Linked DNA regions of Macaca mulatta. The protein of the gene in region 2 purifies or fractionates together with the protein of the main gene of each other region. This does not show direct contact. Links are inferred from orthologs where the notes say so. Each region holds a gene or a part of one and is shown on either strand. Other genes may lie near its edges.

The links.
Region 1: the proteins of SKP1 (region 2) and CUL7 purify together in Homo sapiens (affinity purification with mass spectrometry; 8 studies listed by BioGRID and IntAct, with this or other methods). This does not show direct contact. The link is inferred for Macaca mulatta from reciprocal best matches to the Homo sapiens genes SKP1 and CUL7.

What each region holds. Positions count from the first base shown.
Region 1 is NC_133409.1:139,074,354-139,078,100, forward strand, and holds the start of CUL7 (cullin-7), read left to right. Parts: upstream 1-1,334; 5' UTR 1,335-1,485; coding exon 1,486-1,633; exon of another isoform or gene 1,634-1,722; intron 1,723-1,986; exon of another isoform or gene 1,987-2,082; intron 2,083-2,567; coding exon 2,568-3,248; intron 3,249-3,593; coding exon 3,594-3,745; intron 3,746-3,747. Other genes in the region: MRPL2 (large ribosomal subunit protein uL2m), read left to right, coding at 903-1,115. UniProt on the Homo sapiens protein: Core component of the 3M and Cul7-RING(FBXW8) complexes, which mediate the ubiquitination and subsequent proteasomal degradation of target proteins. Core component of the 3M complex, a complex required to regulate microtubule dynamics and genome integrity.
Region 2 is NC_133411.1:143,076,310-143,080,056, reverse strand, and holds the start of SKP1 (S-phase kinase-associated protein 1), read left to right. Parts: upstream 1-1,134; 5' UTR 1,135-1,234; exon of another isoform or gene 1,235-1,403; intron 1,404-3,747. UniProt on the Homo sapiens protein: Essential component of the SCF (SKP1-CUL1-F-box protein) ubiquitin ligase complex, which mediates the ubiquitination of proteins involved in cell cycle progression, signal transduction and transcription.

The DNA of each region.
Region 1 (3,747 bases), on a different chromosome or scaffold from region 2:
CAGCATAAGTAATTTTTTTTTTTTCGAGACAGAGTCTTGCTCTGTCGCCCAGGCTGGAGTGCAGTGGCACGATCTTGGCTTACTGCAACCTCCACCTCCCAGGTTCAAGCAGTTCTCCTGCCTCAGCCTCCTGAGTAGCTGGGATTGCAGGCATGCACCACCACAGCTGGCTAATTTTTGTGTTTTAGTAGAGATGGGGTTTCACCACGTTGGCCAGGCTGGTCTCGAACTCCTTACCTCGTAATCCGCCTGCCTTGGCCTCCCAAAGTGCTGAGATTACAGGAGTGAGCCACTGTGCCCGACCCTAATTTTTTTTGAGACAGGGTCTCTATTGCTTGAGTGCAGTGGCACAGTCAGCTCACTGCAGCCTCAAACTCCTGGGTTCAAGCAATTCTGCCTCAGCCCCCCAAGTAGCTGGGACTACAGGCGCACGCCACTATACCAGGCTAATTTTCGTATTTTTGTAGAGGCAAGGTATCACCATGTTGGCCAGGCTGGTCTCAAACTCCTGAGCTCAAGCGATCTGCCTGCCTAGGCTTCCGAAGTGCTGGAATTACAGGTGTGACCCACTGCACCTGGCCCTGGCTAATATTTTTTATTTTTGTAGAGATGGGGTCTCATTATGTTGCCCAGGCTGGTCTCGAACTTCTGAGCTCAAGTGATCCTCCAGCCCCGGCCTCCCAAAGTGCTGGGATTACCGGCCTGAGTCCTTGCGCCCAGCTCTTTGTTTTCAACTACCTAGTTCCTACTGTAGGACCTTCACTTAGCTTCAACCATCTTGTGCTTTTCCTTTTTCCTCTCTCCTCTCCTTGAGTCTAAGAAGCCCCCAAGGGTTTTGCTGTCAACACTGTCAAGCGCTTTCCCCCACATTGTATAGAATCTCCATCTGTTTTCTCTGTCAGGTGCTGGAAACGTGCATAGCAACAGTAGGCCGAGTATCCAACGTTGATCATAACAAACGGGTCATTGGCAAGGCAGGTCGCAACCGCTGGCTGGGCAAGAGGCCTAACAGTGGGCGATGGCACCGCAAGGGAGGCTGGGCTGGCCGAAAGATTCGGCCACTACCCCCTATGAAGAGTTACGTGAAGCTGCCTTCTGCTGCTGCCCAAAGCTGATATCCCTGTACTCTAATAAAATGCCTCCCCCTCCTGTAATCTGTTACTGGTTTTTTGCGGGAGGGGATGGTACAGACTGAACGTGGGGAAAAGAAGTAAAAAGTGTGGGAGGAAAAGAAAGTACAGGACACTGGGTCTGTCCCCACCCCAATTCCCTTACAGGTAATGGAGCCGGGGGTGGAAATAAATGACGTCCAAGGCCTTTTCCAGTTGTGACTGGGAAACAGGGTGGGCACTTCCGCAGGAGGGAGGACAAAAGGAAGAGGAAAGGGCGGCGCAGAGGAGGAGGTGCTGCGTCGCCAAGGTGGCATCCGCGGCTCCTCCCCGGCCCTTTCCCAGGGCCCCTAGCCTTCCGCTGGGTCCGGCGGAAATGAGCCGTGGCTTTTGGCTGGCGGAGACGCTGGCAGGGACCAGGCTCCACCCTGCCCCAGTGGCTGCCGACCCAGGCGGCTACCGCTCTGTTCCGCAGAGGCACGCCCCTTCCTGTCTCTCCGTCTCGACCCCCTCGCGGGGCCCAGGTGGGGCCCGAGTCGCCGCCAGCATCTGTGCCGCGTCCCTTGCTCTGTGAAGGACAGGCCTCGCGCCAGGACCCCGGTGGACTTCTGAGGTGGCCAGAGCCCCGCCGCGGCCCCTTGCTCCTCTCCTGCCCACTTGCCCATCGAGCCTTGCGCTCACCCAACCTCGGTTCCCCATCCTACTGGGCCTCGGGGTTCTAGTTTATGGGGCCTAATCCCCCCTCCCCCACTTTACCGCGCGCCCCTGGCTTCTCGGGTCTCCAACCTCGGTCCCCCAAGCCTCGCGCCCCTCACCTACCTTGTCTGTGCACCCTGCCCTGGGTCTCGCGGCGCCCCCACCAGCCCTTTTGTTCCAGTTGCTCCAGTCGCTCCAGTCAGAGGCGCCTCCAACCCACCAGTGCCTCCTCCCAGTCCATCGCGCCTTGCCCTCCCACTCCACCACCAGTTCTCAGGTCTCTTAACTCTGCGATCTCGGGACTCTTAACTTGGGTCTCACACTCCCATGCTCCAATCCTTAGAGACAGCACCCCTTTCCACACACACTCAGGATCTCCCTCCCAAACATACCCCTCTGGGCTTCACATATCCCCAGGGTAGCTGCCTGTTTCAAGGCCTTGGGATTCACTTGTAACTCCAAGGCTGCCCTGCCTGCCCCCACTAGTCTGCCCACTGTTCCAAACCAACCCACTCCAGGCCTCAGGGTCTTGGGGACCTTCCTTTTAGCCCCCAAATTTTGTGTTATTTCACAACAAAACACCCCAGTGTTCTCTGCTTAGGCCTGCCCCGACTCAGCATGCAGCATGCAACTCCTGGGCCTGGCTTTACCCCACCCCGCCTGACAGCTGTTGCCATTTGCTTCCCCACCTCCTGGATGTCTTTGATTTTCTGACCTCTCCTTACTCTAGCTTGTCTGTTCTCTTTTCCTTGTGTGCTCCAGGTGCCAGGATGGTGGGGGAACTCCGCTACAGGGAATTCAGGGTGCCCCTGGGGCCTGGCTTACATGCCTATCCTGATGAGCTGATCCGCCAGCGAGTGGGCCATGATGGGCATCCTGAGTACCAGATCCGTTGGCTCATCCTGCGGCGTGGCGATGAGGGTGACGGGGGCTCTGGCCAAGTGGACTGCAAGGCTGAGCACATCCTGCTGTGGATGTCCAAGGATGAGATCTATGCCAACTGCCACAAGATGCTGGGCGAGGATGGCCAGGTCATCGGGCCCTCCCAGGAGTCTTCAGGGGAGGTTGGGGCCCTGGACAAATCTGTGCTGGAGGAGATGGAAACCGATGTGAAGTCCCTCATTCAGAGAGCCCTTCGGCAGCTGGAGGAGTGTGTGGGCACCATCCCTCCTGCTCCTCTACTTCACACTGTCCACGTGCTCAGCGCCTATGCCAGCATCGAGCCCCTCACTGGGGTATTCAAGGACCCAAGAGTCCTGGACTTGCTCATGCACATGTTGAGTAGTCCCGATTATCAGATTCGCTGGAGCGCAGGCCGGATGATACAAGCCCTGTCCTCCCATGATGCTGGTGAGGGGCAGTGTGGGGAGGAAGGGAAAGCAGAAGGGCTGGGTCGGCTCAGGGACTCACAGGACACTGTGGCAGGAGCCTCTGATCTCATCAGTACGTAAATGATTCTGTTGCCCTTCTCTTAGAGTTGGAAGAAAAGGAGGTGGGAATGGGAGTGAGGGTGGGGGTTATCTGCCAAAAGAGGAAAGACTATCTTCAATAACCTCATATTAATTAGTTGCTTTTTATGCAAAGGAAGAATTTACAGTTTAGACTATTGTAGATGGTGTTTATGTGCGTGTGTGTATGTATATAAGTTGTCAAATTTTAGCTTTTGAAGCAAATCAGTTCTTTCCCATTGTGTGATGGCAAAAGGATTGGATTGAAAGAATAGAGGGTCTAAGATTTCTAGGAAGGGTGAGATTAGGGAGAAGTTACTAATTGGGATATGGGTTACAGGGACCCGGACTCAAATCCTTCTGTCACTGAGCCAACAAGAAGCCATTGAGAAACACCTGGATTTTGACAGCCGCTGTGCTCTGCTAGCACTGTTTGCACAGGCCACGCTCTCTGAACATCCCATGTCTTTCGAGGGCATTCAGCTACCACAGGT
Region 2 (3,747 bases):
GGTTTCTTCAGGGGGCCCTGTGTGGAAGTATCTTTTGTCTTCCTGTGTCAGGGATACCATCACGTGCCTATTGGCTAGACGAGCCCGGCGCCCAGTCTCCTAGGACAGGGAGAATAACGTTCCCGAGCAGAGCGGGGTGGGGCTTTCAGACTACTCCCGTTCCTTTACTGCAGGCTTCATTCCATCGACCTCATCACAGCCTTCCTGGGAGCACCCCAGACAAGAGTTCTGTCCAGGCCGGGCCCTGGCTGCCTGGTTCACTGCCGAATCCCCAGCACCACGCCTCGCATGTCGGGCTCAGAGCATGTTTAGTGAAGGAATGGGTACCTATTGCTAGATGGAAGCCATCTCTCTAGATTTGGGGTTTCCCTACGACGATGGCTATTTTTGGCACGGAAGCCTCTTTAGAAGTCAATAGTAGGAAATAAGGGCTAACGGCACCTAACTGTGGAGTAATGTTCAAATCCTGGCTCTGCCACTTAACCGTTCCGAACCTGTTCCCTCACTGCAGAGGCGAAAAGGCTAACACTATTTCACCTCGGAGGGTTACTGTGGAGAATGGAGGCTGGACAAGCTGTATCAGTTCAGTAGTAAAACACACACACACAAGCGCCCCCCCATCCCCACCCCAGGAATGAACACACACACACCCGCGCGCGCACACACATACACCTCAGGAATGAACACACGCGCGTACACACACACGCAGCCCCTCCCAGGAATGAACACACACACACACGCGCGCGCGCCCCGTTCTGTTGTTCCCAGGAACACACACATAGGCGCACACACGCCCCGTTTTGTTTTTTCCAGGCCGTTTAGCTGGGGTATTTTACTCGGCTTAGGGCGCCCCTGCCTGAAAGACCTTTCTAGGCCAGTCAGGGTTCGGCACCCAGTTGATGAGAGAGCGCGGCGCTTTCAGAGCTAGGGAAAGGCGAAAGCTCTCCCGTTCCCCAACCCCCCGGCCAGCCGCCCCGGCAGCTCCTCGTCGCCTCCCGGCCTGGGCCCGCCCCGCCGTCTTCGGCCTGCCGTCAGGCGATCTCGGCGGCCAGCCCAGCCGCTGTGTGACGCCGCGCGCCCCGGGGTCCTCGGCGCCTGCGCCCTCTCCTATAAAGCAGACGCCGCGCCGCGCCGAGAGGCTGTAGTGGCTTCGTCCTCCGCTTTTCTGTTCCTCCGCTGACGTCTCCTAGCTCTCGTCAGCCTCCCGCCGGCAGTCTCCTTAACACCGAACACCGTGAGTAGCCGCCCACTGAGCTGGAAAGGGTCGTGGCTCCCGGATTGCATGCAGGCTGGCCTCACTGCTGCGGTTTGGGCCTGCCCGCGGCGGGCGGTGACTGGGCCTGGCCTTCTTTCGGGCCCGGTGGATCGTGTTGTCGACCCCGTTCTTCGGGAGACACCATCAGGTCTCGTCCACCCTCTCCGCCCCCGATTCAGCGAGGCCTGCTCTGGCCGCGCGTCCTCACAGCGCTCCATAAGTGTGAGCCGAACCCCGGGCTGGGCTTTCTCTGCACCGGCCGAGCGTCAGCCGGCGCAGGCTCGGCTGCAAGGCCCAGGCTATGGCCGGGGGCCTCTCTTGGCCTTAAGCCTGCTGTCCCGGGGACTAGGGCGGGGGTGGCGGCGGGGTTGTGAATGGGGGTCCCTTGGCTGTCGTGAGCATGGGCGTGTGTCGGTGTCTGGCTTTTGTTGTGGTCGGGAGGGAGAGCTGCGGTGGTGGTCTGAGGCCGCCCGGTTCTTGGCTGCCATCCTTTCTCCCCCGTGTCTGGCGTCACTAGCTACCCGTCGGTCCTGGCTAACTGTGTGCGGGCGCCGAGTTTCTGCACATAGCCGCCTGTTCCTTGTAAATATTTCTTCGCGTTGTTTTGCTATGACTTGGAGTCGTTGAAATAACTATTGTGATAGCAGATACCATCTTCAGAGTGGTGTGACTTGTAAGAGCTGTGTATAACTTAACTCGAAGTGTCTGGCTTTTAAAGAAATAGGATGTCCAGCTGCTTTGGTTCACTTTTAGTGGGAACTTCACGTTTGGGTTTTAGGAACATGCATTTTTCCATTAGAGCGTCACAATAGAATGTATCTGTGTCATAGAACAATAGTCTCCTCCACTGTGCAGTCTAAAAAGCAGTGGCAGAATTTCGGGTCACTTAAAACGCAGGGGTTTTTTTCCCTTTATGATGTGATAGAACCCACTTTATGCTGGCCATGGAGAATTATTTACAAGTGCAGGAGCCTTTAGGCCTCTTTCTTTAGAATGGAATTGTTTTGAAAACATTTCAAATCAAAATTTCATCCATTATTACTTAAAAATTTTGCACTTTATTCTACTGTAACACTAAAACTTATCTTTTAGTTTAGTATTACCAAGTGCATCGAATTACAGATTTAACCGATTACCTACCTGCTATTTAGTAAGATCTCAACTCCCTTAAGAGTAACCCAATCCACGAATTTGACTATGACTAAGCACTTGAGTTATTTGAAAGAAATATGAAACGGTCGTCTTGCTTTTAGAGTAATTTTATCAACTGCATTGTTAGACTTGTGATTCTGCACTGTTCATTTCAGTACTATCTGATATAAAAATTACATGTTTAAATGTTTTATAATTAAAAATTGGACTCACGTTAAAATATTTTCTTTTGGAGATACCTTTTATTGTTGTCTTGTCACAGGAAGGGTCCTCTACTCTGGGTCCTTCTTCATTGAGCAGGGACAACGGCATTATTGGCAAGCGCTAAGCAACATGGAGAAGCAGACATGTTTGTGAATTGCAAAGTGAAATCTGATTCTCTCCAACCATGGATGAGTGAGAGTAGGATATTTCAGTGGCTGGTTTTAAAACACGCTTTACTTTTTTGCTTCCTTTGCCTAAGAACCTGTTTGCTTTGGGGTTGCGGACAATTGTCTCAGAGAAGCTGAATGAATATTTTAACCGATGTAATGGGTCATAAGTCTTTGAACATAAAATGGGTGTGATGCATGTTTTAAATGCCAAATGATACACTTTTGTGAAAATATATGCGATTTTTAATACAACACACCTAGAAAACTTCAGAGGTACCATAAGTTAATAGTGACATCATTGGATTATGAATACTTGAGAAGCATGGGCCTTTTAAAAGTTGTATGTGAATTTTAAGAGGCCTTGAATTAATCTGTACCAGGTATTGCTACTCTTTTTGTTGTTGTTTTTCTTTTATGTATGTTTTCTTTTTTAAAAAAAGAATTTGAAGATGGTAAGAAATTGTTGGACTTTTAATTTTAAATTCCTTTTTTTTTTTTTTTGCCAGAACTCAAGTCCTTTGGAATTAATTGCTTAACTTTTTTTTTTGACACGGAGTCTTGCTCTGCCACCCAGGCTGGAGTACAGCGGCGCGGTCTCGGCTCACTGTAAGCTCTGCTTCCTGGGTTCATGCCATTCTCCTGCCTCAGCCTCCCAAGTAGCTGGGACTACAGGCGCCCGCCACCACGCCCGGCTAATTTTTTGTATTTTTGGTAGAGACGGGGTTTCACCATGTTAGCCAGGATGGTCTCGATCTCCTGACCTCGTGATCCACCTGCCTCGGCCTCCCAAAGTGCTGGGATTATAGGCGTGAGCCACCACGCCTGGCCTAATTGCCTAACTTTTTATGTAAGATTATCTTTTTCCTAGTGACTCATAATTACTCTGAGTTAATAAATGCATTTTCAGAGCAAGTAATAGGTTATTATTATGGAGCTCTTGACAAGAGATCTCAAAGTTGGTCAGTT